Linked DNA regions of Rhinolophus ferrumequinum. The protein of the gene in region 1 purifies or fractionates together with the protein of each later gene. This does not show direct contact. Links are inferred from orthologs where the notes say so. Each region holds a gene or a part of one and is shown on either strand. Other genes may lie near its edges.

Region 1 (7,898 bases):
GGAGAGGTCTGAAGGGAGTCAGATATGAGAACATATCCCTTCGTGGGGCCCTCAGGCACTATCTTTGAGTCTGACTTTGCTCTCTGGAGGGAAATGTGAGCTGGCGATTGCTGAGTCATCACATGTGAACCACATGAGCCACAGCCCTCTTTGAGCACTGGCCTGGAGACACTGGCCACCTGGGGATGAACTTTACCAGGGAGGCGGTCTCCAAAGCCCTCACCCGGGGGTGCAGGTGGCCTGGCATATAGATTGCTCTCCAGACTCGCCCTTCCATTAATAAATGGACAATGATCAGTGAATTCTACTCATGAAATAGGGTGGGATGCAATCCCAGAAAATTAATACTGATAGAATATTATTAACTAATCCAAAAGCCTTAGTAAGGCTCATTTGTCCCACTGATGTCTTCTTCTGTTTCAGAGTCCAACACAGGATCCCACACTGCTTTCAATTGTTATACCTTTTTATTCTCCTTTAATCTAGGATAGCTCCTCAGTCTTTCCTTGTCTTTTATGGCCTTGACATTATAGATCAGCGCTATCCAATACAACTTTTTTTATTTTACTGCAAAGAAAATTTTATATATCACTAGTCATGAATTTTTGTCATTAGTTATTACATAAATGTGCCATTATCCAAGTGGCATGACCATTTTATGTCCACGATTCACTTCTGTGTTCACAAAATTTTCATGATTTATGTAAGTACACATCTATCAGTGAAGATTTAACATTGAGATGCAATCTAGCATCCATAATATCTGATGTTTTTCAGATAGCAATGTAGAAGAGATGTATTTTTAATCACTTTTTCATTTGAGTCACCTTATGTAAAAAAACTAATTTAGATGTTCTAAGTCTCTAACGGAGGTTTTCCAATGCACTCATAGGAATGGTTACAGACAGTTAAGATTTTCAGAAACAACTTTCATGTCACATCCTGTTGTAATTTCTGTACCATTTTGTTTTCCAGATGCTTTCCTTGGCATGCAAAAGGGGCCGAATGAGATGAATGTTTTGCTTGACTTCTTTAATGTCCTGAACTTTCTGTAGTTCTTTATTTTTCTTCAACCTGTTCATTACAAATTTCACTTGGCATTTCTGTTTGCGCTCTTCATTGTATCAATAGTTTTATTCCACAACTTTCGCTGGTACTTGACAGGTTCATTTCTGCTTTACAGAATGCTTTAGTCCACCTGAACGTGTGAGGATTGTGCTTCTTCTTCTTCTTCTTCTTTTTTAAAGATTTTATTGGGGAAGGGGAACAGGACTTTATTGGGGAACAGTGTGTACTTCCAGGACTTTTTTTCCAAGTCAAGTTATTGTCCTTTCAATCTTAGTTGTGGAGGGTGTCGTTCAGCTTCAAATTGTTGTCCTTTCAGTCTTAGTTGGGGAGGGTGCAGCTCAGCTCCAGGTCCAGTTGCTGTTGCTAGTTGCAGGGGGCGCAGCCCACTATCCCTTGCAGGAGTTGAACTGGCAACCTTGTGGTTGAGAGCCCACTGGCCCATGTGGGAATTGAACTGGCAGACTTCAGAGTTAGACGCATGGAGCTCCAACTGCCTGAGCCACCGGGCCAGCCCAGATTGTGCTTCTTTTTAAAGTTTTTATGACACTTGGATTTACAGAATCTGAACACCTTGCAATCCTTGTGGACAAACATCAGGCAGTGGCCGGGATATATGGGTCCCTACCAGAAATAACATGTCTCCATACTCATGTTGAACATGCCAGGGGGACCCACCACCCAAATGCCAAGCTTGAAAGGCCAATACAACTTTTTTTTTTAAAAAAAAGCTCTCCAAAAGAACTTTCTGCCATGATAGAAATGCTCTGCATCTGTGCTGTCCAATATGATAGCCAGTAGCTACATGAAAAATGACATTTAAAATGTGGCTAGTGGGGTTGAAGAACTGAATCTTATATTCTACTTAATTAAAATAATAGTCACATGTGGTAGATGGCTGCTGCATTGGACAGGACAGCTGTTGAATGCCCCTCATTTTGAGTTTGTTTGATGTTTCCTCTTGACTATGAGTTTTAGCAGGTATACCATAGATGTGAGGTTGTGCCCTCCTTTGGTTTCCTGATAAAGGTGACAGGAAACCAAGTAGGTCAGAATTTTTATTGTGGCAAAATATACATAAAATTTACAATTTTAACCATTTCAAGTGTACAGTTCTGTGGCATTAAGTACATTTGTTGTGCATTCATTACCACCGTCCATCCACAGAACTTTTTCATTGTCCTCAACTGAAACTCTACCCGTTCGATACCAATTCTCTATTCTCCATTGCAACCACCATTCTACTTTCTATCTTTATGAATTTGACTACTCTAGGTACCTCATATACTCGTAAGTAGAATCATTTAGTATTTTTCCTTTTGTGACTGGCTTATTTCACTTAGCATAATGTCTTCAAAGTTCATCCGTGTTATAGCATGTGTTTGAATTTCCTTCCCTTTTAAGGGCTGAATGATATTCCATTGTATGTATATAGCATATTTTGTTTATCCTTTCATTCATTGATAGACATTTGGGTTGCTTCTACCTTTTGACTGTTGTGAATATGCTACTATGCACATGAATGTACAAATATCTGTTCCAGTCTCTGCTTTCAGTTCTTTGGGTATGTATCCAGGAGTGGAATTGCTGGATCGGATGTAGTTCTAGTTCTAATTTTTTAAGGAACCACCATATTGTTTTCCACAGCAGTCTCACCATTTTGCATTCCCACCAGCAATGTACAAGGGTTCCAATTTCTCCACATCCTTGCCAAACACTTGTTATTTTCTGGTTGTTTTAATAATAGCCACCCCAATGGTTGATACCTATAGACTGAATGTTTTTGTCCCCCGAACCCCACAATTCATATATTGAAACCTAATCCCCAACGTAGTGGTATTTAGAGGTGGGGGTCTTTGGGAGGTGATTAGGTCATAAGGGTGAAGCCTTTATCAGTGGAATTAGTGCTCTTCTAAAGACCCCAGAGAGCTACCTTGCTTCTTCTGCCATGTGAGGATTATGTCTATGAACCAGAAAGTGGGCCCTTATCAGACACCAAATCCGTCAGCATCTTGATCTTGGACTTCCCAACTTTCCAGAACTCAGAAATAAATGTTTGTTGATTAAGCCACCCAGTCTATGGATTTTTGTTATAGCAGCTCAAATGGACTAAGACAGTATCTCATTGTGTTTTTGAGGAAGCTGTATTTTTTTTTTTTAATGCCCTATGAAGTCCAACAAAAACAGGGTGGCAACTACATTTAGAAGCAATTCACTGCACTTCCAACACTCTTCCTGCAAGAATCAGATATGAGGTCACTGGATTTGGGGTGGGTAGCAGGCAGGAGTAATTCTTGAACCAATTAATGTTAACGCTGTCTTGGCTAAACAAGGCAGATGTGGCTTTATTACAGTTAGTTGAGTTCAGGTGTAATATTAACATTTTGTAAATACTGAATGTTGTGAAATATCCACAAGGTTTCCAAGTAATCAATTATCATCTGAAAAAGCATCCCTCCTACAATTCAGTTTGGGAGCTCTGGCTTTGGAGACAGGCATGTATTCAGGCATTTGCATGTGATCTAGGCCAAACCTCTTAACCTCTCAGATGTCTTTCCTTTTAAAGTTGCAGTAACAATCTTAAGTGTACAGCTGATGCATTTTTACGTATGCACAAGCCCATGTACCCAACACTCATATCAAGACACAGGATATTTCCATCCCACCGGAAGGCTCCCTTGTACCCCACCCCTCAACATCCCTAGAGGTAGCTAGTGATAATGATTTCTATTTATGTAGATGAGTTTTGCCTGTTTTCAACCCTTACCTTGTGACTTGGAACAGACAGCATGAACTTTCTGTGCTTGGCTTGGTTAGCCATGGTGCCCATTCATACTGGTGAGATTCAGGCAAGTTGTGTGTATCAATAGCTTATTCTTTTTTACTGTTGTATATTATTCCATGGTGTGAGCACACCAGAGTTTGTCTCTCCATTCTCCTGCTGATGGACCCTTGGGTTGTTTCCAGAGTGTGCCTATTGTGAATAAAGTTACTATGAACATTATCTATTGTGAGTGTTTCTAGGTGGATGTATAGGTAGGAGTGGTTGCTGAGTGAGACGGCTGGCATGTTTAAACTTTAGTAAGAATAGCCAAACCTTTCCCCAAAGCTTTAAGTCTCTCTTTAAAACAGAAAAAATAAACTTCTATCTCATTATTATGAGAGCATTTAAAGAGCCCTAAGATAGGAACTTGAAGCCTGTACCTGGAACACAGGGGGCCCTCAGTAATTGCCAGCTTCTGCCCCTGTGAGTGTCCTGTGCCCCATCAGAGGAAGGACAGGCGGCTGGCAAGCACTGCGGGAAGTCACCCGCCCCTTACCTTTGGGTGGAGAGGCCTTTCTCACACAGCACTCATGGCCCACACTGAGGGAGCCAGGTAAGCAGCCTTGGTACCTACGCCCTGCACTCGGATCCTGCTTTCTCAGGCCCAGCACGCGCGTCGCCTGGCTGGGCACTCATCTGGCTGGGCACTCACCTGGCTGGGCACGTTTGTTGAGTACTGTGTGCTAGACCCTGGGCTTCCAAGAGCAAACCACATAAAGCCTCTCCCCCCTAAAATCACTGGGCAGGAGGAGGGATTGCTTTGTGTAGAAAGTTTGGGAACTCAACAGGGCACAGACTCGGAGGTCTGGAGCCCACTTGGTTTTTAACTAGACCCTGGACTTCCCCTGAAAGCTGCCTGAGACGAACAGGGAAAGACAATAATTTGCTCCTTTGCTCCCCTGCAGGAACGTAGGTCCGCCCGGAGCGTCCTGGCCTCTAAATCTAGGCCTAGTGCCACCCGCAGTCTCCCAGCGGCCTGCGCGGACCGCGAAGCCCGGCCCCCGCCGTGCGACCAATGGCCCCGCCCTGGCGGGGGAGGGTTCTGGCGGCCGGTGGCAGTCGGGGCTGTCCGCAGGTCGCCGCGTCGTGGCTACCCGAGGTAAGATCGCAGCCCACGCGCCTGGTCCTCTGGGCTCAGGGCGTACAGACGCCTTTCGGGGAGGTGGCCCGCGGCGTCAGGAGCCAAATGGGACTTGGAATCCGCCAGAGTTCAGGAGGTCCGGGGCGCGCGGGAGGCCGGGGAGGGGACAGGGTGCGCGGGGCTCGGGAAGAGAGAGTCCTAAGGCACTTGGAGTTTGGGACAGCGAGGGCACCCAGGGGGTCGGGAAGTGGGGGGCAAGGAGCGTCTGCTTGGGCTGCGGGGGAAGGTTGGAAAGGAAGGAAACGGGCGCCGGCCGCTGAGGCCCTCCCGCTGCCCTGCTCAGGCCCAGGGTGACCCCCGGGCAAGGCCTAGCTCTAGTGCGCCAACCTCCTGTGGCCTTGGCCGTGCCTCGGGGTGGAGGTTACCGCCCTCCCCTAGGTTTTGACAGTTTTCGGTGGTGACACCTGCTCAGAAGAACAGCCTCCCTGTCCTCCGTGGACCTCGGTCTATGGGGCTGTGAGGCCTCGCCTTTCCCGCGTGGGTGGATATTCATCAAGAGCACTCAGACCCCTGGGACAGTCGGGTCGGAAACTCCTCGCCGAGTGGATCCGGAACCTTCGCTGCCCATCTCTGAGATCGGAAAGAGGTGCCAGGAAAACATTGAAAAAAACAACAACAAACCCCAAAATCCCAAACGACATTCCCCGTATAGATGCTGTGGAGCCTCAAAAACATCTGGAAGGAGAGTCAGCGACCTGAGAACCGCGCTGCTGTGGAGGGCACGGTTCGGTTCAGGACTAAATGTTGCATCCTCCCAGGTGCACCCTCACCCAGTGACCCCCCTCACTCAGATGGTGACCTTGGCCCTTTCCTGAACTTGAAGGCAGGGGTTGTTTGAGTTTCACTTGCTGCAGGGGCTTCTATGACCTGCAAAGTGTATGGTGAGCTGCAGTGAGACATCAAGTCCTGGGTTCAAATCCTGTCAGGGCCACTGGTCAGCTGTGCACCTTGGCATCACTTCTCTCATGAATTTGTGGCAAGGATTAAATGAGAGAAACTTATTTAATAAGTTTCTGCCTATAGTGGATCCTCAATAAATGTGAACAACTATGGGCTTCTTTTCTTTTTGGTGGGATCATATCATAACCCATTGCCCCCCAAACTCTGTGCCTTAAGGGCTGAGGCTGGGATGCAGAAAAATGTTATCACCTGACTCTCTCCTGATGCCTCCCTGGATGCCATGGGAGGGAAGGAGAAAAGGGTCTTTAGCTACCACAGTTATTCTTTGCTCATCTCCTGAAATCTCCCAGGAACCCCGGCCCTCCCTCCCTAATCCTCTTGACCTCTATCATTAGCACTTGTCCCAGTAGGAATGTAGCATCTGGTGGTTGGCAAAGCAAGTCATGCAACTTGAAGCTGTGAAGCCAGGAGACAGGACTGCTGCCCGGTTTCCCATTTGGCAAGAGACTGGCGGCCTCAGCAGCTTTTGGGCATTCTGCAGCGCTGTCTCCTAGAGGTCTCACTCAAGCCTGACCCCTCGTTTCTACTCTAGCCTGGCCCTCTCTGTGCCCCCTTCCCTCCCTGAAAACCCACTTGGACATTCAATAGCATTTCAAGCTTCACTTATTCAAAATGGAGCTCTGGAGTTCCCTGTGCACCTCTGCTCCTCCCCTGGATTCTCTGACTGGCTAAATAGCACCATCCATCCACCCAGCGCCCAAAGAGTCATCCTTGATTTTTCTCCTTTCCTCACCTCCCAAACCCACAAAACACCAGGAATCCAACCACCTCTCTCTCTCCACCACTGGTTACCACCCCAGCCGTACATTTGTCTGTGCCCTGCTGTGGCCTCCTGACTTGTTTCCTTGTTTCTATCCTGGCGTCTCCATAGTCCAAGGTCCTCACAATCACCAGAGAGGTCTTTAACATAGATCCTCTCCCTCCCCTCCCTGTTCAGAACCCTCCAAATGAAACCCAACACCCTTTCCTGTAACACTCTTTGTAACAGCTCCTCCCAACTTTCTTGATCTCCACCCCTCCCCCTAGCTTTCTAAACCTGGACCACAGCGACCTGCTTTCTATTCTTCAGACGCGCTGAGACCTGCTTTCTATTCTTCAGACACGCTGAGCTGGTTTCCACTTTAGGACTTCTCACTAGTGCCTCTGCCTGAAACACCGAACGAACGGCACAACTCAAATGCAGCCAATTCAGGAAGTCTTCCCTGACCATCCCAGTGCAAGCAGCACGCCCTTCTCCAGGGCTTCTGTTTCGTTACCCCGCTTTGTTTTCTTGGTAATGTTTATTACTCTCTGGGATTCTTATTTATGTATGTGTTTACTGATTTGTTATCTGTCCCACCCCAGTAGAATATAAACTGGATGATGGCAGAAATCTCATTTCTCTTATTCCCTGCAGCTCTCCCCAGAGGGGAGGCAAATAAACAACACACAAACAAATGCATGTACTTGCAAATTGTAAGTGCTCCATAAGCAACTGGCGGTACTTGCTTGTATTTGAGGCGCTTATAAATTTCAAGCTCATCAGGCCGAACTACTGTATTGTCAAAACAAGCTCCCTGACCCATTGTAGGGGTGAGGACAAGCCTGGAAAAGACGGGTAACTTGCCCCAGGTCAATAGTGAGTTCAGGACAGTGGAACTCAGCCTCCTACCCTAAGAACGTGTATGTAGCAAACTGCTTTCATGGTGGCCCTGCAGTCGTGTTCTGGAAAGAATCTGATCCTGAATCCTGAAGACCTCAGTTCTTTGCTCTTGCACTAACAAGCAAGCCCCCTTTATTTCTTAATACTTCATTTCCTTCACCATTAAAGTAGGATGGATCCTGTTATTATGTTGGGCTTCTTTTTTTTCCTAGTGTACCTCAAAGAAGCAGCACTTCTAAGTGGAGTCTTCTTGCTGTGAGTGGCTA
Region 2 (7,966 bases), on another chromosome or scaffold:
TTCACTGGAAACTATAAGACACTGATGAAAAAAACTAAAGCAAGACTCAAATAGATGGAAGATGTTTCACGTTCATGGATTGGAAGAATTAATATTGGACAAACAACAGTGATAATTGTGACGTACGCTTATCATTTTAATTTAGAAAATATGCTCTGGCTAGGACTTCCAGTAGTATGTTGAGTTAAAAAAGCTTTTCCTCTAACATTAGGAAAAAGACAAGGATGCTTCCTCTACACTCCTGAGCAGGGGCTCTTGCTTGTCAGCTTGTCCTACCACAGAAGGATGGCCTTATCCTCGTTTCCATCTTCCAAATCTTGCACCCACTGCTCATCAGTCAGTGGCAGAACTCAAATTATATCCAGAACTTTAACTCCATAGAAATCTGGAAAATGTAGTTTTTACCCTCTATATGTTATAATCCAGGATATGAGGAGACATAGAAGAGAATAAGAATGGAAACTAAATAAAAATTAATATCTAGTACAGTCCACTCCTTCTACCAATAATCTTTCAAGCAAACAAAACTACATTCCCACCTAATACAGTCATTCCCTTATTCAAATGAAAGCATGCATACCCTATCCCTTAAATCTTTATACCCATTGCTATGCGATGTTCTTTCCTCTTCTGTTTTAGTCACGATCCCACCTTAAGATACTCTAATGTAAAGACTAAGTTATAAAATTAACCACCACCAGCAAACCTCATATAAAAGGAAAGAGGAAAGCCATTAAAAGAAGTTCATGAATACATACAAAAACAAAACAAGGAAAAAAACATGCACCGCTTCTATGGTGCTTCATTCTGAAACTGGTCATGAGACCATCATTGGTGTTTATAATTTCCTCTTCATTGGTTCCCTTTGCCCTTAGAAGTCTCCCCAACTACATAGTAGGGCGATATAAATCAACAATCCTGAAAGAGCTGAGACCTTAACAGTCCTGCCTGTGTTGGACAGCTTTAGACTTCCATCAACATTTATCATTGAACATGTAATTACCAGAAAGAACCTCAAAGAAACCTCTGGGTTGAAGACATACTCATCCTTGACTCCACTGCGTGGCTGTATCACTATTTGCCCGGCGTAATTCACATCAATCAGCCCAGTTGCTAACTTCCTTATTTTTGTGATGACTTGATGGCATGATGAACCTGTAAAATCCAGATGCACTCTCAAGTTCCTGCGCAAGGAACTATGTGTCTCCTAGTGGAGAACAGCCCAATGTCATAGGAGCAAGAAAGCACTTACTTTGCAAGTGTGTGATTAGGTTTAATTGTGGGAGACAAGCTTTTCACTTCTACCGTTTCCTGGTCTCCTGTATTCTGGCCGTGAAAGAAACAGCAACTTGGTTTAGAGCATATATTGTACTTGAAGGACTGTACACTCAGCTTGCTGTGTTGTCACCTACCTGGGGCTGTAACTGAGTCTTCAGTACTCCATCCCACAGTCTTCTAAGGCCAGCTGCTTTTTGGTGGTGATGATCATAATAAAACCATTGATCCCATGGTAGTCAGTGTCTGCCTTCTTTTTCTGCAAAATGGGTTCCTTAGTGAGGTATAACATGATGGTGAACAAGATATTCAGGATGTCCAACAATGATGGTGTTGGCAGAAGCACTGCAAGGAAGGAAAAGCAAATCCATAGCTGGAATACATGTTTACTCCACAGAGGGCAAATCCCTGCCCACTCCATGATGGAAAGGTCGCCACGTAACCAGTCTGCCACAAAGTGACTGGCTGGTCTTCCTTGGAGTATGAGAATCCACACTGGGGGCTCAGGGTTGGTCTGTGTTGTTGACACGCTAGGTACTCAGCAGCCTGGATGGGAATTCCCTGTTGATGAACTCACATGTATCATCCAATTCCTGCTGCCATTGCCTCTTCATTCATTTTGAAAAAACACTGGGGTAGCTGGGAAAGCTGACATCCATAGAAGTCGTCTTGCCCACTTGCTTCTCAATAGCCTCCTCAGAAGTGCGTGCCTGTGGAGGTGAACATTCACAAGAGAACCCAATATGCTCCTAACTCTGTGTCTGTTCTAAGTGGTTCACCCACATCATTTCCCCCAGACCTCCTTATCATCGACCCTCTGATCTTGTTCCTTCCAAATGTCTGAATATCCAGCTAAATGGTTAGCCATTGGTTCTGTCCAAGCCACTGGCTTTCTCTTTTTCCAAGTGACAACTAAAGGTACTGCTCAAAATTCTGCCCACTGGGAAGATTTCCTTTCTCCCACTATCCTTTAGGACCACCTCCCAGCGGGGCTATTGTAATACCTCAATCCACTTCTGATTAATGGCAGTGTGTTGTGCTTCATTCGAATATTTCTTTCTCAATCATCTGGCCACAGGAAACTCCCCATGAGTTCAGAGATTGGGTTGATAGAGCAGGAGTGATAGAGCCTTAGATAGCTGCTCGTGTAACATGCCTGTGGACTAGCATCTTTTTTGAGTCCTAAGAATGTCGGGACCAGTTTATCACCACTGAAGATCTTTGGTTATTGAAACTTTCTGATTACTGCTCTGACCCTGATGCCCTTTCTTTGGGGTTTAAGTGTTGCCACATGGCCTTTGCTACTCTGGGAGCCATAGTACACATTGAAATCAGGGAGCATCTCCCATCAACATTCCCCACCAGCAGTGGTCACCATTCATTACAGAATTTTCAAGGATGCTGATGCTCCCCCTCTCCAATATATTTCTCAATGCCTGGTGAAAGAGGATCCTTTGGATTTTCTTGGGGACCATGTTTAGGGAGTGAATGAATAGGTTGCATATGATTAATCTATTCCAATGTTCCTCATTCCCTACATACTTTTTTTTTATTCATTTCAGGTGTACAAAACAATATAATACTTAGACATTTATATCCCTCACAAAGTGATAACCCCCCTCCTTTTGATTTCTTCCTCTGTATTACTTGACATCACAGTTTTACTTAATGTGTGCCAACCCTGAGGCCAGATTGTAATAAACCAACTGAACAAACCATTAGAGCCATTCCCCGCTGCTGGAGCCAGCACATTGAGTGCATAATCTAAATTATATTTATTTTGCCTTGTTACCTTTAGAACCATTTCCATGCATATTTCCTGGGTTTCTGCTGGGGAAAAAATTAGTAAAATCTTGCAACTCTTTTATTGTGTAAACTACCTCCTCTGGATCAGATCTTGTCGGTATCCATTGGTGGCATCCTAGCATCTGATTCTAGTTCTAGGAGTGAAGGAATGAGGTAGGATGGGACATTTGGAGGTGACTACTTCAGGATCTTCAAGCTACGTAGGCTGTACCATCCTTAGCAAACAAAGGTGGAAGGACTGTGGACACTCAACAGAATTTGGGAGGGCAGTGGTACTTGGACTCATTCAAATCCATCCAAGTTCCCAGGGCCTCATTCTTTCCCAATCAATGCCCTTAATGTTCACATAAAAGACTTGGTGAGGCTACATCTTAAACTTATATTTTAAAATTCTGCTACCTGCGGCATCAGGCTCTGCACCTGATCTTTACAACATCTGCCCTGAAGCTCCATGTAAGAGGTTCTTCTGGGGCAATCATAAAAGTTTGTGTCCTCTGACGGTACTTGAGCTTATCATTTTCTTTTCTAGGCTCTCTTGGGCAGTTCCCGGGCTTCAAAATGTCAGGAAACGTGTCATTGCTATTGCCATTGCTTCTGCCACAGCCACCCCACTGCCTGAGGCTGGCAAATGGATTCCTGCAAACACCCACCACTGCTGGAGCTTTTTGCTGCCTGGAAATGCCACAGAAAGATGGCTCTGCCTCCCATCTACTCGTATATTCCAAACACCCCACAAGTGCTTCACATTTGGGAGACTTAAATCATGTCCAAGACCTAAGCTACAAGGAAAACGTAGTTTTTAGCCATTGATACCCTGCAAAATGAGGGGATGTAGAAGAGAAGTGGAAAAGGACTCCTGGAGCCAATGCGCAGTATTTAATGTATACTTGAGGTCCAACTTAGGACCACCTCTCTCTTTTACTCTAGCTAAGGTGTTAAGGGTACAGACTCCTGCTTCTAATTTTAGCTCCCTCTGCTTACTAGCTGTGTTATTTAACTTCTCTGTGCCTCAGACCTAAGTTTCATCATCTGTGAAATGGGCACAGCAATGGCACCTACCTTGCAGTGTTGTTGTAAAGTAAGTCCTCAGCACTCTTTAGTCACCGTGTCAATGAATCAGTATTACTCTGGGAGTGTGTCATAGTCCATTAGGTGAGTAGGATTTCTTATAAATCGAGGACTATTGATGAGGGCTTTGGTAGTAAACTCCATGAGGTCCCTTAAGGAGCAGCAGGTGGCTCACCTAACTGCTGGGCCGGTGCTTGGTAGGTACAGCGGCTGGCAAGTATCTGTTGAATGAGCGGTTGGATGGGTGCAAACAGACAGAAGGAAGATTATTCCCCTGGCCAATTCATCCCCAGCCTTGTATGTGACCTGGCAGCAGTGTGGAAAGGAGACCGAGTGCTTTGGTGTTTAGGGGCCTGACCTTGAACTGAATGCTAGCTTTGCCACTTTCCAGCGGCAAGACCCTGGGCGAGTTAATTTACTCAGTTTCTTCTATTGTAAGATAAGGCTGATACTATCCACCCTGACCCCCACCCCCAAATGTTTGCGTGTTAGAGGAAATGGGATGTTTGATCCTGGAGCCTAGTTCAGCGAGTGCCTGGCGCGCCACGGGCGCTCGGAGACTTCGGTGTCCTCCCCACCTCCTACGGATCCTTACCTGTACCCGGTCCTGACAGCCCCAGAAGCCCGGGTGGGGATACAAGGGTCTGGACGCGCGCCCAGGAGCAGGAGCGGCACGTGCGTGCCTGCCGCGCGGACTCCCAATGGAAACGTCAGTCTCCAGATCCCGGATCCAGTAAGGACTAAAACGGGAGGGGGCCGGGCGGCCGCAGCGGAAGGCGGAGTCCGCAGAGAAAACGAAACTGAGACCGAGGTGTCCAGATCGGACAGTGCCTCGGGAGACAGTGACGGCGCGAAGTAAACTGGGCGGCGGGGCGCCGGGCAGCGCGGGAGGCGGCGAGGGGCGGAGAGCACAGGGGTGCAGAGGCGCGCGCGCAGCCCGCGTCCTCCGTCGGCTGCGAGGCCCCTGACTCCTGGCTCAGGCCCCCTGGCGAGGTGCGGGAACCTTTTCGGACCCGGGCAGCGTGCTGGGAACTGAAATCCATTTTCTTCCGGTGAACAGTTTTTATCACAGTAAGTAACGAATAGCCCAGGACGGCGTTGGGGGGCGAGGGAATCGAGTGGAAAATAGATCGACCCTATGACTTGACAGAGAGATGGGAAATATGCAGCCCTGAATTACCTATAGATTGGCTCTGTAATCCCTGGCCCGAAATCTCTTGCCTAGACAGTTACACTTGTTTCCTAATTGCCTGGCTTCCCCCTCCCCAACCCCTTTCCTGCCCCCCTCCCTTCCCATTTCGACCCCTTACACCCTCTTCCCCCTCCCCGCCCCCCCCCCCATACTTCTCAACACCGTCTCTGGGCTCACAGGCAAGTCCCCTTATTCCCTCCATTCGGACCGCACTGCTGTTCTTGACACGCAGCCAAGCATACACCCCTGCCTCTGGGTCTTTGCACTGCCAGTTTCTTCTTCCTGGAAAGCTCTTTCTTCCCTCAGATACCTGCATAGGCCCATCCCTCAGTGTCCCCTGCATTTCTTCAGTGTCACTCTGTCAAAGCAGCTTTCCCTGAACAACCTGCTTATAAGAGAAACCCCACCCGCCCCTCCCTGTCACCCTTATTTTACTTCAGTTTTCAATATATCGCTCTGATTTTTTTTTATGGCTTTGTCCGTGTTCCTCCACTGGTAAGTTCACCGGAGCAGGGTTTTGTTCACTGGTATAACCCCAGCACTCATTAAATAGTTGTTTAATGAATGGTAATTCATAAATTCTCTTTTGAATTCCAGAATAATGAGACTTCCTAATACCTGTGATTTCTTTAGTACTAAAAATGCCTTGCCAGTTAGAAGCTAAAATATACACTCTCTGCTGTCATTTAGGAACTTAGAATCTTGGGCAGACTGTGCTCTTTTTCTTCAGTTTGCTTATTTGAACCTGAAGATCCACAACACGTGATCTCTGGTTTATTCGTTTAATTCATCAGATACTGCTTGAATGCATGTTGCATGCCAACCATTGTGCAGGCCCTGGAGGGGGCTAGGCCGGCAGACGCTCACGTCTGCCCTAAGGGGAATGCCAAAGTATCTTCTGGGCAAGAGTAAAATGGACACATAACCGTTTGTTAGAGATTATTGTGGTGATTTCTTTTAGGGAAATGGTAACTTAGTATTAAGACAACTATGTATTAAAAGTAGTTAAAAAGAAACCTATTTCTTTTTCCCCAAAACTTGTAAGTACTTTTCAAACATGCCAGTTCAGTACCTTATTAGTTTACACGTATATTTCACTTAAAGTCAAACTGGCTTGTCATTCTGCTGATCAGCAGTTAAGAGGTAACAGTGCTGAGAATGTAAAAGCATTTGATAGGACTTCTGGTTAAGTAATTGCTAAGGACTCTTCCATAACTGCTGTTCTGAGATCTGTGACCCCCCCTCCAATTTGATGTATGGTCTCATGGTTGTGACTAAACTAAATGAGACTTTGGTTTCTGAAAATAATGGTACATCTACAGACCCTTATCTGAAACCCTTGGGCCAGGTGTGTTCTGGTCTTCAGAGATTTTGGATTTTAGAAAGGCAATACAGCATACACCCTGTCTATTACGTAATGCTCTCAGCAGGATTTGGGGGTGACACTCTAGGTATAATGAAACATATTTCTGCAGTGAAATGTATAAATAGGCACCAAAGTATGATACAGACACTCAATTGATCATGCCAGTTTAGGTTTAGATAAGGGGCTACAAATCTACCAAAAACAAAACAAATGAAAACAAAGAAAACCTTAGTTTTTCAGTGCTTTTTGGATTTTGGAATTGCAGACCAGGAGCACCATTTAGTGGGGCCCACCAGTGTGCCAGATGCTTTTCGTCTGATTTATTCCTCACAACAACCTGTGAATCAGGTGTTTTTTAGGTCATGAATCAAAGACTCAGAGAGATGTCTAGCCCAGATCTCTGTGGCTCTAACGCCTAACTCTCTTCACCGCCCTCAGCACTGACGAGAAGGTATTGCCTTTGCTCAGATCAGGGCACTTCTAGCACCTCGCTTCCAGCCACCACCATTGCTCACCACCGTTGTTCACCCAAGCCACTGCCACAGCCTCTGCTTGGTCTCCCAACTTCTACTCATGCTCTGCTTCCCCTTTCCATACCCAGCATTCTCCGTACTCTCCGTAGCATCGGAGGGGTCATTTGAAACATCAATCCAGTCACATCACCCCTCTTCTTAAAATCCTCCAATAGCTTCCTAGTGGAGTAACATCCATACCCTATAAGGGCTGTGTGCTGTGGCACCTGCCCACCTCTCTGACTCATTTCCTACCCTTAACCCCTCATTCACGGTGCAGCAGTCCCCTTGGCCTTATTGTTATCCCTCCAAAGTCTGCACTGGCTCCTGCTCCAGGGTTTCCTCTGCCTGAGCTACTCCTCCCCCATATATTGGTATGATGGGCTTTCTCATCATTCAGGCTTGATTTAAATATTCCCTCCTAAGGAGGCTATTCCCTCACCACTGTATCTAAAACCACCTCCATCATATTTCTGCCCCCACCTGCCAACTCACTCTCTAAGATTCCATATCTCTGTTTAATTTCATCATAGCACTTCTCGGTCATCTGGCCATCATAATACCCACTCCTGTTATTTATTTCTGCACATGTTCTGTCTTGTTTATATCTGTATACTCAGTATCAGAACAGTCCCTGACATTTGATAAGCACTTACTGAATGAATGAAGAAAAGATGCACAGAAAACAACAGGCGAAGAAAAGGGAGAAGATGAGAAGGTTTAAAGGGGAGTACTTAATTTTAATTA
Region 3 (7,865 bases), on another chromosome or scaffold:
AGTACCACAAACCGGGTGACATAAAACAAGTACAATTTATTCTCTCGGAGTTCCAGAGGGTAGAAGTCTGAAGTCAAGTGTCAGTAGTACCCTGCTCCCTCTGGAACCCGTAGGAGGGACTCCTTTCTTGCCTCCTAGCTTATGATGCTTTCCCAGCCACCTTTGGTGCTGGCTTACAGCGCCAGCACTTCAATCTCTGCCTCCATCATCCCATGGTGTTATCACCTCATGTGTGTTTGTCTTCACATGGTATTTTCCTAATTCATAGTGAATTAGGTACCACCTTAATGAGCCCATCTTAATTGATTACATCTGCAAAGGCTCTATTTCCAAGTAAGATCACATTCACAGATACCAGGGGTTAGGACATCAACATATATTTTGGGGGGGAATACAATTCAACCCATATACTAACTAAGAACAAAGCTTCACAATACATGAAGAAAAGAACGGACAAATACAAAGTGAGAAATAGACAATTAGTATATTGAAGTTATTAACAGCTTCCGGCAAAAATTGGTAGAACAACTAGACAAAACAATTGGGAGGGATACAGAAGTTCTGAACCTTGATATAATTGACATTTATACATTCAACAATTTAACACACACTTTTTTTTTCAAGTATACTTGGAATGCTCTCTAAGATGGACCAAATGTCCATCATAAAACAAGTCATAAAATAAGTCTCAACATATTTCAAAAGAGAAACAGCTTACGTAATAGTGCTGACTAAAATGGAGTTGAATTAGAAATCAATAACAATAAGATACCCAGGAAAGCTCCAGATATTTGGAAATGAAGCCATATCCTTACAAGTAGCTAATGTATCAAAGAAGAAATTAGAAAATATTTTGAATGAAATGGTAATGAAAACACACAAATTAAAACTTGTAGAATATAACTAAAGCAGTGTTTAAAAGGAAATTTATAGTTTTAAGCCCCTATATTAGAAAAGGAGGAAGTTTAACAATAATGATCTAATAATCCAACTTAATAATCTTGAAAACGTGAGCAAATTAAACCAAAAGTAAATGGAAGGAAATAATAGTTAAGAGAAGAAATTAATGAAGAAAAAGAGCAGACAAATGACAGAAAATTAAAGCCAAAAGTTGGTTCTTTGAAAAAAATTAATAAAATTAATAATCTATTAGATGGATTAATCAAGAAAAAAAGAAAGAAAACACGTTACTTACATCAGGAATGAAAAAGGCGTTACTATAGATTCTACTAACATTAAAAGAACAACATGGTATATGATTTCACGTACATGTGGAATCTAAAAAACAATAAAATGAGCTAACAAAACAAAACAGAAACAGACTCATAGATAGAGCAAACAAACTTATGGTTGCCAGATGGGAGGGGTATGGGAGATACGTGAAAAAGACAGAGGTTAAGAAGTACAAGCTGCCAGTTATAAAACTAGTCACAGGGATGTAATAACGTACAGAAGGGACTATAGTTAACAATATTGTAATAAATATGTATGGTGACAGATGGTTACTAGAGTTATCGTGGTTATCACTCCGTAAGGTATATAAATATCTAATCACTATGTTGTACACCTGAAACTAATATAATTTTGTATGTAAATTGTAATTAAAAATTATTCAAAAATGATTACAGGAAGAAAAAAAAGACCTCTCATGTTGATGAATTTTCAATTTTCACCAGGAAATTTATTGATAATGTCTTTTTTAGTTGTTATTTTTACAGATATAATAATATGATATGATAAAAGGCTATCCTGGGGGGAGCAGGGGAAAGAGTAATATTATGGTAGAGTAAGGACCTCTGAAAATTTTGCCTCCGTAAAAGAAAACTAACAAAAATTGTCAGGATCAACTTTTTCAGACCTGTGGGAATTAGCGAAGACCTTACAACAATTCAGGGAATGCTTATTCAAGAAAAGTGGCTGTGTGCTCGCTTCCGCAGTACAGATACTAAAATTGGAATGATACAGAGAAGATTAGCATGGCCCCTGTGCAAGGATGACACACAAATTCGTGAAGCATTCCATATTTTTCTGACCCCTCCCCGCCAAACCAATAAAGCATAAAGCATAAAAAAGAAAGGAAGAAAAGAAGGAAGGAAGCAAGAGAGTGAGGGAGGGAGGGAGGGAGGGAAAGAGGAAAGAAGGAAGGAAGGAAAAAAGGAAGGAAGGAAGGAAGGAAGAAAGAAAGAGTGGCTGAATCTTGGTAGGAACAGCAAACTGTGGTGTTTTAACTTGTCCCATTCCCATTACTCCACTTCCAGCTCCCGGTAGTCTTGAAAACCAATAGTCTGCAAACAACTCTGAGACCTTAGAAAATACCGGGAAACTTATTGGTTCTATGCATTCAAGGAAATCTCTATTCAGTTGTTAGCTGATCGCTAGGCTAATGGAGCAGAGACTTTAGTAGCAACATATGACAATAAACACAGACTTCAGGGAATTAAGTCAGAAAAGTCACTAAACAAATAACAACAATGAACAGCCCAACAACAAACAGTGGGGAGGGGGGAATCTGGTATCCACAGTGCCACATTGTATAATTTTAAATATCCAGTTTTGAACAAAAAAAATATGAAATATACAAAGAAAGAAGAAAGAATGGCCCATATGAGAAAAAAAAAACACAGAATTTATCCTTGAGGAAGTACAGATGTTGGACTTACAGACAAAAACTTTAAATCAGCTATTTAAATATGTTCAAAGAACCTTAGGAAACCATGTCTGAAGAAATAAAGGTGAGTATGAGAATGATGTCTCTCTAAATAGAGAATATCAGTAAGGAGGTAATGTAGTATTATTTTTAAAAAGAACCAAATGAAAATTCTGGAGTTGAAATGTATAATGACTAAAATAAAAAGTTCACTGGAGGGGCTCAGCAGCAGATTTGAGCAGTGCGAAGAAAGAACTGGTGGACCTGCTTATGATCTACTGAGATGATGTAGCCTATAAAACAGAAAGGGAAAAGAAGAAAGAAAGGGAAGAAAGAAAAATGAACAGAGCCTCAGAGACCTGTGGGACACCAACAAGCATACCAATAATGGGAGTTCCTAAAGAAGAGGAGAGAGAGGGAAGGCAGAAAGAATATTTGAAGAAAGAACAAAGGAATACAAAAGTAAGAAGGCAGGAACGGAGAGATAGAAGAACAGAAAAGATGTAAGACATAAAAATATAAGGAAATGGCAGATGTAAGTCCTACCTTATTGGTAATGTAATGTAAATGGCTTAAATGTTCCAATTAAAAGGCAGAGATTGGTAGAATGCATAGAAAACATGATCCAACTATATCCTCTCTGTAAGAGCCACACTTTAGATTCAAAGACACAAAAAGGTTGAAAGTAAAAGGATGGAAAAAAGAGATGCCAGGCAAATAGTAACCAATAACAAGATAGACCATATTCAGGTAATAAAAAAAGTTTCCATAAATTTTAAAAGATTTAAATAACACAAAGTATATGCTTTAATCATAATGGAATGAATTTAGCATAGTATGTCTTACGACATATCTACTGCATAGAATTTGAAAAACATAAAGTATGCCCCTCCTGGTCATTTTTTCTAAACTTCTCCTCCAGGAAAGAGAATTCCACAAACATTCTGGCATGAGTCACCAGGCCACCTCACCCACAAGAGGTAGGTCATAGGGGATTTTACGGTATTTATTTACTGAAAGCTGCTCTATGGCTCCTCTTGAGAGGCAGCATTTTATAGTAGAAAATGTTTGCCTTCTGGAATCAGATAGCCTGGATGCCAATATCCATTGTATTAGGCAAGTTATTTAGTTTCTCTAAGCTTCAGTTTTCTCATCTGTGACATGAGGTAATTATACCTACCTTAAAGATTTGTGAGAATTAAATGAGATACTATACCTAAATCTTAATTTCCTACCCACCTCATCTTCTGTCTTCCTCCTCATGCAAACAACAATGCAATATGAAAGAGAACAAATGGGGTCAAGGGGCCTGGAGGAATAGAAATAGGGGAACCAGGAATTGTAATCCCAGTCCTAAATTGTGTAAAATACATGACCCTCATCTATAAAATGGGTATGATTTCTGTCTTGTGGGAGTTATAAGGACTAGAAGCGATTATAAAGATTATAAGAGGGAACATATCTGACTTGTCTAGCACACAGTAGGTGTCCCATAAGTGGTAGTTATTACTTTTAGCAGTAGTCTAAGTCATTTATTTACCTTTTTCTCATTTTTGCGGCTCATCCTCTCCCCAGTGCAAACTCCAGCTAACTCCTCCGCAAACGCAATCTTTCTCTTTGCCCCCCACCACGTCTCTTGAACACTTCTCACCTCCTGTACACTGACTTTTCCTGCACTCTGACCAGAGCGGGAGAAACAGAGGTAAAAGAATGGAAGGAAATAAATCTAAATAAACAATTTTGAGAAAAATGTTTAGGTTCCAACATTACTTTTTTGGCTGCGTACGTGTGTGAGAGAAAAACCTTTGTGAAACTGGGATGTCTCCAAATCCTACTAGTAAAGTCCTGATAAGACAGTCTTGCCGCCGGGGCGGAGGGGACTCCTCGGGTCTGGATGAGTTCTCCTAAGGAAGGAATGCGGGGCAGGCGCGTTTGTGCAGAAGCCGGACTGCATTTCGGCTCTGACTCCCCGGATCTGGGGTTCTCCACCCGACACGTCGGTTTTCTCCTCCGCAGGTGGCCCTAAGAACCCCGCGGTGGCTGTGAGAATAACTTGAACCTCCGAAGACTGCTAGTCCGAGACTTGGGACTACAGCCACCACCCGGTCGCCAGAGAAGGAACCCCGCGCGCCGGCTCCGCCCCCTGCCCGTCTCCCCGGGCCCCCACGTGATTTCCTGAAAGGCCGAGAGACCGCCCTCCCGCCGCTCAGTTTCGTTTTCTTGGTGGCTTTGGGCTCTTGTGCTACAGTCGCGGCCGTCGTTTCCGCGCGTCCCGTCCGGTCCTCCAAGGAGCGCTATGGCGGAGCTGTCCCTGGCCGACGAGCTGACGTGCTCCATCTGCTTGGAGCCCTTCAGGGAGCCGGTCACCACTCCTTGCGGCCACAACTTCTGCGGGTCGTGCCTGGACCAGACGTGGGCCGACCATGGCGCGCCGTATAGGTGTCCTCAGTGCCGTGCCGCGTACCAGGTGCGGCCGCAGCTCCGCAAGAACACTGTGCTGTGCACCGTGGTGGATCAGTTCCTGCAGGCCGAACTGGCCCGCGAAGCGATCGCCGACGGCTGGACGCCACCCGCTCGCGCCACCGCCCCCAGCCCCACCGACCAGGTGGCCTGTGACCACTGCCTGAAGGAGGCCGCGGTCAAGACATGCCTTGTGTGCATGGCCTCTTTCTGCCAGGAGCACCTGCGGCCACACCTCGACAGCCCGGCCTTCCGGGACCACCTGCTGCAGCCGCCGGTTCACGACCTGTTACACCGCAAGTGCCCTCAGCACAACCGGCTCCGGGAATTCTTCTGCCCTGAGCACAGCGAGTGCATTTGCCATATCTGCCTGGTGGAGCACAAGACCTGCTCGCCTGTACCCCTGAGTCAGGCCAGCGCTGACCTGGAGGTAGGGGGTGGCGGCGGAGGGCGCAGAGGGGCAGCTTGGGCCTGCTGGGTTGTGCAGAGGACGCCGCCGTGCGCATCTCTGTCTCCCCTGGATCACTTGGATGGGGGTGGGGATGGGGCTGGGCCTTGCTGGGCCTGAGATCCGGGACAGAAGACACAGGTGATGGTGCTTACTTTAAGTCTAGGGCTTGGCCTGATGGTGTTAATAAAGGGTTTAGAATGCCAAATATGAGCCCTGGAGGTTACCTCTGTTCCCTCATTAAATCCTGGCAGCACCAGGAGGTGGGTGTCATTAGTTCCATTTTTCAGTTAGGGAAAGCAGTTCGGGAGAGGTTACTTAGCCTGAGGAACCCAGTAGATGGCCAAGTAGGCATTGGGACCCAGCTGGTTTGACTACACAGTTTGCCGTTTCTCCCCAGGAACCAGCTTCATACCCAAGTCTACAGAGTCCAGAGCATAAGACATTCCTGGAGGATTGAGGTCATGTGAGCAAGAGCAGTTGGTGAGCCAGAGAGTTCTAGTGAGTAGGGAGGATCCCTACGGGTGGGTTGTGTCTCAGGAATTCTTGGATATGACCCACAGGAAGAGCCAGTGCTCTTGCACCATAGTGCCCTCCATCCTGGCTGTGTGACTTTGAGCACAGGATTTGGCCCCTGGGCCTGAGTCCTTGTCAGTAATGTGAGGAGGTGGGACCTGGTGGATTCCTAAAGGGCCTTACAGGTCTGTGGTCATTTTGGAGAATCATAACTTCTCCCGGTGGAGTTAAGGCAGAGGCTTGAAAAGGTATCACCTTTTGTTTTATCAGTCTAAGCTCCAAAGCGCGCCCCGATTTCTTTTGATTCTCACAGCACTGTCAGCTGTCCTCATATTGTCAAAGCAGACCTGAGACCTGGGGGAAGTTTGCCGTGGCATCCAGGACTGGGGTGCAGGCCTTGCTTCCATCCTGCCACAGCCCCTCTCTGGCTGGGCCTGCTTCTCCCAGTCTGAGCTGGGATCCTCTGGACTTCTTCCCTGAGTCTCAGAAGCCCGACCTCCAGGCACTGCCTGAGAATTGCCCATCTGAGGCCCGGCCATCTGGGTCTCCGACTGTCATAGGAAAGAACCTGCCTAGCCTTTGGAGCCAGGAGGCCTTCTTGGCCCCATACCAGCTGTGGTTTAGGGTCAGTCACTGCAGTTCTGAGCCTCAGCTTCCTCATCTGTAAAATGGGATTAGTACAGCTCCCATTTTAGGGACGCTCCGGAGAGAGGAGCTATGTGGGACGTGCTTTGTAGGCTGGCCCCAGTGTCAGGCAGAGTGGCTGGCTGACACAGGCTCCAGGCAGAGCTGGATGTTGAGACCTGGGTTTGAATTCTGGCTCTGCTTCCTAGCTGGGAAATCCAGAAAAGGGGGACAATAATAGTACCTATCTCCGAAGGTGATTGGGAGGATTAAATGAGCAACCTATAAACTGCGTTTTATGGTGAAGGCTCATTGCTGTTACTCCTCCCAGGGGAGAGGGAGACCTTAACTCGCTGGGCAGTGTCAGGCTGCCCAGATCTTTTTTGCCTCAGGGTGCCTGGGCCTGCCCATGAAGACTAGGGCAGCCTGGCTCCTGCTGAAAGGCCTTTCTAAGAAGTTCTTACCGGTGGAGGCAGAAGGCAAGTAGAGGCAGGAGGCCCCTTGTCAGCCTGTCTCAGAGCCACAGTTCTCTCAGCCTCCAGGGCCTGGAGCTGGATTCTACGCCCAGATTGTGTGCTGAACACACTTGGCTTTTTAATCCTTGTAACAGGCCTTTCCCCTCCACCTCCCCTCTTTCGCCATTGTCCTGGCTGCGTCCTTTCACCATGTTCCTTTTCCAGCCCTGCTGCTGCTTACTCCTGGTGGCAGAGCCAGCCCCAGCTGGGCATTGCCCCAGCCTTGGGTGGCTGGCTGGTCTCCATCAATAGTGCCTCCCGTGTGGAGGACCCAAGTCCCCAGTCTGTGAAGGGATCCTCAGAACTTCAAAAAGGTCTCTAACCTTGATTAGGGGATTGTTGTGGCTATCGAAGTCCTTGGGCCACTTTCCTTTTGTCTGGAGTTGCGTGGACCCCCTTCTTCCATCAGGGGACTGTCATACATGTTTGATTAATGGTAAATAAAATCTTTTAAAATACAGAATTTAGGAGTTCACGGTTAAGAGTGGCTCTCGGAGGTGAAACATTTGGCAGCCCCCTGGTGTTCTGAGGTTTCTTCCAGCTCTTGAGATCTGCGAGGCCAGACCTGCCTGGGTCTGGCCTTCAGCCTTTGGTCCAGTTTATATTGGCCTCTATTAGAGGCCACGTCAAAGGGCATTGTCACAGAGGTCGAATC
Region 4 (7,858 bases), on another chromosome or scaffold:
AAGCATTTTGAAAAATGGATATTTGGAAATTTTCCACTGATACCAGATTTTTTTATTTTCTTTTTGCCAAAATTGTTTATGTAGAAAAAGCTTTTCAATGTTCATATGTAAAATCAGAACTTTATAACTGAATTGGTGGAAGTAATTAAGAAATGAGTATCATGATCTAGTAAACTTAGCCAGAATTTCCTTTTCTATTTTGTACCTACTTATGTTTTTGAGATATAAACCTATAACAGTATCCTTTTAATAAACTTTTCTGCTAAATCAGCATATTGACGTCTGTTTCTTGCAAAAGGAGATCCTGTGTAAAACCTCAGTTACATGGCTGGTTACTATATAGTGTTTAAGTATACAACTAATTTATTTCCTCTCTAAAATGTGCATTCTTTGAGAGCTAGCACCATCTCTTATTCATTGTTTGCTAAGAATGCTTGTAGATACTTATAGGGCAAATATAATACGCCAGGCCTGGTGCTAAGGGTTTTACTGTCCATCCTTCGAACAACCTTATGACATGGTACTGCTATCATTTTCATTTTACACCTGAGAAATCTGGCGTGGTTTCCCTAAGATCACACAGAATTGATAGGTAGTGCTGACATGTGAACCCGCCATCCTGAGCTCAGAGTCTCTGTGCTTAACCACAGCTCTGTACTGCTAGGTTAGGGGCATCTAACTTTCAATTACACAGAGTAGGCTCTTTATTGACACAATTAGAAAAGAAATGAAGAAACAACAATAATTCTAGAATGATTTCCTCACTAAACTAAGTTTATTGTCATTTTCTTTGGAAAAGGCATTACTGCTATGTGTGGCCATTAAATTGTAGTTCTGGTTTATCAAAGCAGTGGCAGCTATGATTATCACTACTTCTTAATTGTAGAAAACTCAGATGAAAAGTTGGATAACAGTGGGAATCTGTTATCTAATATATCCCTGACTTAATAGTTAAAGAAGAAAATGCTAAAAGGTGGCTTTTGAAACTGATAGAGACTGAAATGTTTCTTTTGGTTTAAAAAGACTAGGCAGGTCTAGAAAGAAGACAAAGAGCAGCAAGATTTCCTACCTCAAAGGAGAAAGGAAACAGAAAGCTATGTTTAGAAAACAATGAGAAGGATGAAAATGAAAGCTATTAGGGGAAACTTAACAGAGGAAAATGTCTATTCAAACAAAAAGAAGAAAATAAACTAAATTACAATGGAAAAATATAGGTAAAGAAAAAAAAAATACATTTTGAGAGATGGTGGCTTGGCTTTTGTTTCCTCAACCTCCTTTCTCCAGAAGGGGTCATATCAAGATTATGGCAGATTCCTAAGAAGAGGTTTGTTTCTGTTTTCCCTCATTTATTCCCACCTATGCTTAGTCCTCATCACTGAACCTCATCCAGTCGTGATTCCCACATGAGAGTAAACATGAATTGTGATTGATGGTAATGGTGAGGGTTGGGGAAGGGCATCTATTTGGAAAGTCAACCAGTAAAACTATAATGTGCATTATTATCTGGATCTCACAATTCCTATTTAACATAGTTCTAAACTCCTAGCCAGAGCAATGAGGCAAGAGAAAGGATAGAGGTGAGAGAGAAGAGAGAGAGAGAGAGAGAGAGAGAGAGAGAGACAGAGAGAGAGAGAGAAAGGAAGGAATCAGCATTAGTAAGGGAGAAGTAAAGCTGTCTCTATTTGCAGATGACATGATTTTATATGTAGAAAATCATAAAGACTACACACACACACACACACACACACACACACAAATGTTAGATCTAATCAACAACAAAGTTTCAGGATACAAAATCAACATACAAAAATCAGTAGTGTTTCTATACACTAACAGCCAATTACCTGAAAGTAAAATAAAAAAAAAGTAAAAGGAAAATGATCCCTTTTACAATAGCATCAAAAATAATAAAATACTTAGGAATAGATCTTACCATTATTCTCATAGTATTTATCTTCACCTGGCAACTGTATTTTTCTAATTATTATTTATTATCTGTCTCCCCACTCACATTAGAATGTGAGCTGCATAAAAGTAGAAACTTTGTTCTAGTTTACTAACTGTACCTAGAGCAGTGCTGGTGACATAGTAGTTATTTAGTAAATATTTTTATTAGTTTCAGGTGTACCAAGCAATGTAACAGTTAGACATTTACATCCCTCATAAAGTGATAACCACCACCCCCATCTACTACCCCTCTGACATCCTATATAGCTGTTACAGTACCATTGACTATCTTCCCTATGCTGTACTCCACATCCAGTGGCTATATATACATATACCAGTGGTGCCAAAAAAAAAGGTATAAAAAAGTGTATACACATGACTTGTATCCATCTTTGGTTATCGGTATATGTTGAATATTACAATTTTAGTACAGTTTTTTTTTCCTTTTCTAAATGGTGTATACTTTTTTTGGCTATATATATATATATTTAATTATAGTTTACAGTCAATATTACGTATTCTACTTCAGCTTCAGATGTATAGCATATTGGTCAGGCATCTACACAGTCTACTTAATAAATATTTTTTAAATGACTGAATAAATAAATGATCTGAATACAAATATGTAATCTTCTACTTTTGATCCTCTCATCAGGGCAGCAATTTCATGGTGTTAAGAAGATGACATTACTTTCCCATATTTAATCAGCAATCCCTTCTTATCCCCCAGTGTTTGAAAGTGAAGGACAAAAAGATGGGTACAGAACGTCTTTTGTTTGTTAGTTAGTCTTTGGTTTAACATACTGAATGATACCTGCTGGCACATGGGGAAGGAAGGGGACTTTCTTGTAATAGGCCCAAAACATATTTTTGTAGAATCAATAACTAAAATCAATAATTTTACTACTTCTGTAGAAACATCTAATGTGATTATCTTCTACCTAGGTACAAGGTCAAATCCCAAAATTAAGTAAAGATACAGTAATGCTTTATGAAGAAACAGAAAAGAACATTATAAATCAGGCCCACCTGTAAGGCCAAGGTTTTATCTCACTTCAGCAGATTTTACTTTGCATTTTAGGTTAAGCCAGCAGCTAGACGCAAGGCAACTAAAAATGCCATTCAGGTGGGAAATCATCAAGAGTCTACTGTTTGTACTGTAGTGGTTACTGTGTAAATATTTTCTTCCTTCAAGAAATTTACAGTCCTTTAAGGAAGAAAAAGGCTTAGCTATATCATATCGAGAATAAACTTGCTATAAAGTGCTCACTTGGATATTCTGTATACTTCTGGTAAACACAAAGACTGTACTTCTTTTATACCATCCAAAGCATGGGCAGGTTTCCTGGCCTCTCCAAAAATCATTGCATGTGTGTTGCTAACAAATTACTTTTCTTAAACATATCTTTTTGATAGCCTAAATGACCCCTCCATCCTCAGCATAATTCTGGACCATGAGGTTCTCCTTATGAAGCATATATACTACCACGCGTAGTCACCCAGGGCTGCAGAATGCCTGAACAGCAACATGAAGGACTCATGTTTATGTGGCTTCTGTACTAAAATGAAGCTGCCATTTTGCAGTGTGGGTGTCTTTTTTTCCTTCATGACATAGACAAATGTTGATGTTTACTACAAGTTGGTACATTAGTTGCTAATTAAGTTCCTAGCTGCTTCAGCCAAAACTCGCTGTATTGAATCCAAGAAAAGAATGGCAGCTATGTCAAAAATAAGTTGTTGGGGATTTTGTTTTGTTTTATTAAAGAAAAGTTGTATATTAAAGAATATGGGAAATTGACATGCTGGGAGATAGGAAACCTTCCATGTTGGCTTCCTCCTAAATCGAGTTGGTGGTTCAAGTCCCTCTGCGTCTGTCACCAGGCTCTGGTCAAAGCCAAATCAATACTACAATCTACAGAGGAGGCATAAAAGTTCACTGTTTATCATGACTCTTTTTCATAACCACCCAGATATTCCCCAAGGAAAGTTTTATTTCTTGGGGACCCACAGGAGGTCAGGTTTGCACCTAGAAAGGGTGCAGAGGTGTCATGCGGCATCTCTGGTCCTGCTCCCTGCCTAAGAACGCAGGATATGGTGAGGCCAAAAAGGAACACCAATGGAGCCACAGATAGGAGAGTCATACCACCATATTCTTGCTGGAGGCTGGGTTGGAAACTGGAAGCAAGAGCCGTGATCTGCCATCCGCTTCTCTGACAACCAACCAACCCCTTGCTAACTGCAATCTGCGCTTGGTAGCTCAGCCATGGCGGTTATATCAGTGGCCAATGGCTAACTGGTTACAGCTGATGACCAACCATCCACAGCTGATGGCCACCTACTACCCAAGCCAGCGCCTTTCCGCGTGAGGCCGAGAGCCTGGAAAGTGCATTCTGGGACTCTGTCCCCACAAGAGGTCACTTCATCCTGGGGTTCTGCAGTTACACCTCTCTGGAAATGTCTCTTTAGCTTCTCTACACCTGTCCCTTGCAATCTTACACCCTGGCGGTGGCATCTGTTTCTCTTCACCTCCCTGCGGGGAATTTCTGAATTACGTTCTTTCAAGCTCTCCCCATTTTAGCTGACAAGGGTTGATGCAAAACAGCTGTGGAAAGGAAGTCTGATTTTTGAGGCAGAACTCTGCAAGGAGGACAACATGCCCGCAGGAGGTGCATTGCTGGAGCATCGGTGTCTTACTTGGTGGGGGAGAGATTTCACTTTCCTTTTCTATTTCGCACTTGCCAGCACCGATCACGGGGCGGCTCCTCCTCGCGGAAAGAGCAACGCCCCCGCCCGGCGGCTTACATTTGGAAAGTCCTGAAGAGGAGAATCGAAACAGAAAACAGTCAGGAAAACTATAAGAACTGACTGGGGGGAAACTGGACTCAAAGTTCCCACCGGAGTGCGCAGCGCCGGAGAGCACTGCAGAGAGGCGCCGGGCCGCGCCGGCCGCCGGCGACTGCCTGCCTCGGAGTCCCTTGTCCGGCGCGCCCTGCCCACCTGCCCACCTGCCAGGGGCGATCGCACGGCTGAGTGAGCCGGTCTGGGGGTCCTGAAGGCAACCCCGTTGCTGTCAGGTACATCCCCGAAGACCCTGCTACCCAAGGCAGCAGACAGGGTTATACACATCGTACCTGGTCAGCAGAGAACAGCAACCTGACCATCTACTTGGGAGAACCTCTCCCTTTTCTGAGAAGGAAAGATGTCGAAGGGGTATTCCTCAGACAAGAGTTTCCGATATCTCATCTCATGCTTCCGGGCCAGAGTGAAAATGTATATCCAGGTGGGGCCTGTGCTGGACTACCTGGACTTTCTGTCTGCAGAGGAGAAGGAGAAGATTGAGAGGACGGCCTTCACCCACGGGGAAATTCACGGAGCTGACTTGCTCCTCAGCACTTTGGAGAAGGGGGTCTGGCCCCTGGGCTGGACTAGGGTATTTGTGGAAGCCCTCCAGCGAACAGGAAGCCCTTTAGCCGCCCGCTACATGAATCCTGAGCTCACAGACTTGCCCTCTCCATCCTATGAGAACACTCACGATGAGTGTCTCCAACTGCTGAACCTTTTACAGCCCACCCTGGTGGACAAGCTTCTAGTTAGAGATGTCTTGGATAAATGTGTGGCGGTGGACCTGTTGACAGTTGAAGACAGAAATCGGGTAAGTGTCAGTTCAGATGGAACTTGGCTTTTAGTTAGACTTTTGCAACTAGGTCCTGGTCGCTCATTTGCCTCATTCCAAACGTTCTTTGATGTCTTTGAGTAAATCTGGTTCCCTCCTTCTTTGAGAGGAGAATATAATATCTAGTCATCTAAAACATAAGTTTGAAAATTTAAACACAAAATATCTGTTTTTCTAATCCTTTCACTGCGTTAATTGATTTCGTGTTTTTTTCAAAATGTGTCAGAAATCCACAAAAAAAAAAGTTGATATTTTTACTATTTTATGCATTTAATAATAACAATTTGAGCTGCTTTGTATATAAATAACATTATTTTTATGTATAAAAATTTCAGGTATATTCATTTGGATATATCCGACCATCGTGTGGCAAAAGAGGAGTGGCAAACTGAAATAAGCTAAAGAGGAGTTAATTCAAGAATAATAAATGTATGCCGATAGATAACATTTATTGAACACTCACAATGTGCACTTAGTATCATTTGCAAAATGTATCAACAGTTCATGCTGGAAATACTCCATTGAGGTGGTTAATGTTATTAACTCCATTTTACAGATGAGAAAACTGAGGCAGGTTGAATAACTTCCCCAGGGCCGCCTAGGAAGACAGTGGCAGAGATATGGGGTTAGGTCTTGATGGTGTGGAATTTTATGTCTTATTTAATACACTTCCACAGAACAGGGACCAGCAAACCATGACGCATGGACTAAATCCAGCCTGCTGCTGGTTATTGCAGGCTCAAAAGCTAAGTAGAGTTTTTAGATTAAAAAAGTTTCAGTGTTCATAAAGTTTTATTGGAACACAGCCATGCTCATTCATTTACATATTAGGACTGCTTTTGTACTTCAAGAGTAGTTGGACAGATACTATATTGCCCACAAAACCTAAAATATTTATTATCTGGCCTTTAGAGAAAAAAAAATTGCCAATCGCCAAGCTATATTATACATTATGCCATTTAATCTTGGTCTAAATAGGGAAATTACATATAGCATGTTATTTTCTCTCAAGTTCTTCAACATTCTCTGCAAATCAAAAGTTGGAGATAATTCATTGAAAAGTATGTCTACTAGTTGCAGTTTTTCTTATTAGTGATCAAGTAGTGGATTTTTTAGGTGGCATTTTGACAGGGTGAATTTTACAGGTAACTTTGCACTTAATGTAATGTTTTATTGTTATTGTTTTTCAATGATTGGGGACATACTGTGAAGTATAAAAATGGTGACTTATTTGAATCTGACTTATTCCAGTTTGTAAGCCAAATATCTTAGCATGAAAGGCATGTAGGCAAACAAACCCATGACTAAAAGTCAAACGCTTTGTCTAACATGCAATGATTTTGACATTTTCTTTCTTTCTAATTGTTGGTATCCTCACTACAAATGATTCTAGATTTAGTTTTGTGTTCAGTGATCACCCAAAGAAACCTATTTAATTTATTTGTTTATTCATTATTGGGTTTAAATTACAAAGTTTTGGGCCTTGGACTCATATCAACCTATGATGTGACTTAGTCTTTAGTGACTAAAGTTAATGCTCCTTTGTAGATTTGACAGCTGTAGGCTTGTCCAAAGACCTGGGCATGCATCTAATTTTGATGGCTGGTTTTCCCAACAAGTAGATTACTTTACACTGTTGTCTGTAGCGTTTATGTAGTTTTGTGTATTGAGAACCAGCTAGAACGCATTATAGTAGTCCAGCTGGATATGACAAATGTGTACATCACTGTGGCAGAATCTTAATTTGGAAGACAGTATGCAGCCTTCAAGCCAGCTGGAGATGGAAGATGGCATTTCCAGCCACAGTAGCTGTTAGGAAGTCCAGAAGCAACAGAGTCCAGTAACACCACAAAGCTGTTTATGTTTGGTGGGTATGCTGTCCCGATTGCCAGCAAAACAGCACTTCTCCTTATTTACTCTAAATACTTCTGCCTATCAGCATCACTTTTGTCTTGCCTGGATTGAATTTCCGCCAGCTAGATTTTATCCAAGTTCTTGATTCTGGCAAGCTTGGAGGCAGCTAGCAGTAATGCAAAGGAGTTGACACACAGAATATTTCGAGTAAAGGGACATTTGTGTACTGGTAGCAGTTAAGGCCAATGCAATCCAAACTATCCCCCAGCTTCATATTTCAAAGAAGGCTCTGAAAGATGGAAGAGCTATGTGTTTGAGACTCTATAAAGAGGAATAGTGTCTCTGTGAGATTCTGGAATGATTTTCGTACCTAGAGCAGTACTG

Evidence for each region.
Region 2: the proteins of MAVS (region 1) and EIF2AK2 purify together in Homo sapiens (affinity purification with western blotting; 3 studies listed by BioGRID and IntAct, with this or other methods). This does not show direct contact. The link is inferred for Rhinolophus ferrumequinum from reciprocal best matches to the Homo sapiens genes MAVS and EIF2AK2.
Region 3: the proteins of MAVS (region 1) and TRIM25 purify together in Homo sapiens (affinity purification with western blotting; 3 studies listed by BioGRID and IntAct, with this or other methods). This does not show direct contact. The link is inferred for Rhinolophus ferrumequinum from reciprocal best matches to the Homo sapiens genes MAVS and TRIM25.
Region 4: the proteins of MAVS (region 1) and IFIH1 purify together in Homo sapiens (affinity purification with western blotting; 12 studies listed by BioGRID and IntAct, with this or other methods). This does not show direct contact. The link is inferred for Rhinolophus ferrumequinum from reciprocal best matches to the Homo sapiens genes MAVS and IFIH1.

Annotation. Positions count from the first base shown.
Region 1 is NC_046306.1:25,769,729-25,777,626, forward strand, and holds the start of MAVS (mitochondrial antiviral-signaling protein), read left to right. Parts: upstream 1-4,889; 5' UTR 4,890-4,988; intron 4,989-7,016; exon of another isoform or gene 7,017-7,263; intron 7,264-7,898.
Region 2 is NC_046296.1:46,183,226-46,191,191, forward strand, and holds the start of EIF2AK2 (interferon-induced, double-stranded RNA-activated protein kinase), read left to right. Parts: upstream 1-4,964; 5' UTR 4,965-5,220; intron 5,221-7,966.
Region 3 is NC_046304.1:28,458,934-28,466,798, forward strand, and holds the start of TRIM25 (E3 ubiquitin/ISG15 ligase TRIM25), read left to right. Parts: upstream 1-4,853; 5' UTR 4,854-4,943; coding exon 4,944-5,537; intron 5,538-7,865.
Region 4 is NC_046291.1:60,413,662-60,421,519, forward strand, and holds the start of IFIH1 (interferon-induced helicase C domain-containing protein 1), read left to right. Parts: upstream 1-4,851; 5' UTR 4,852-5,146; coding exon 5,147-5,599; intron 5,600-7,858.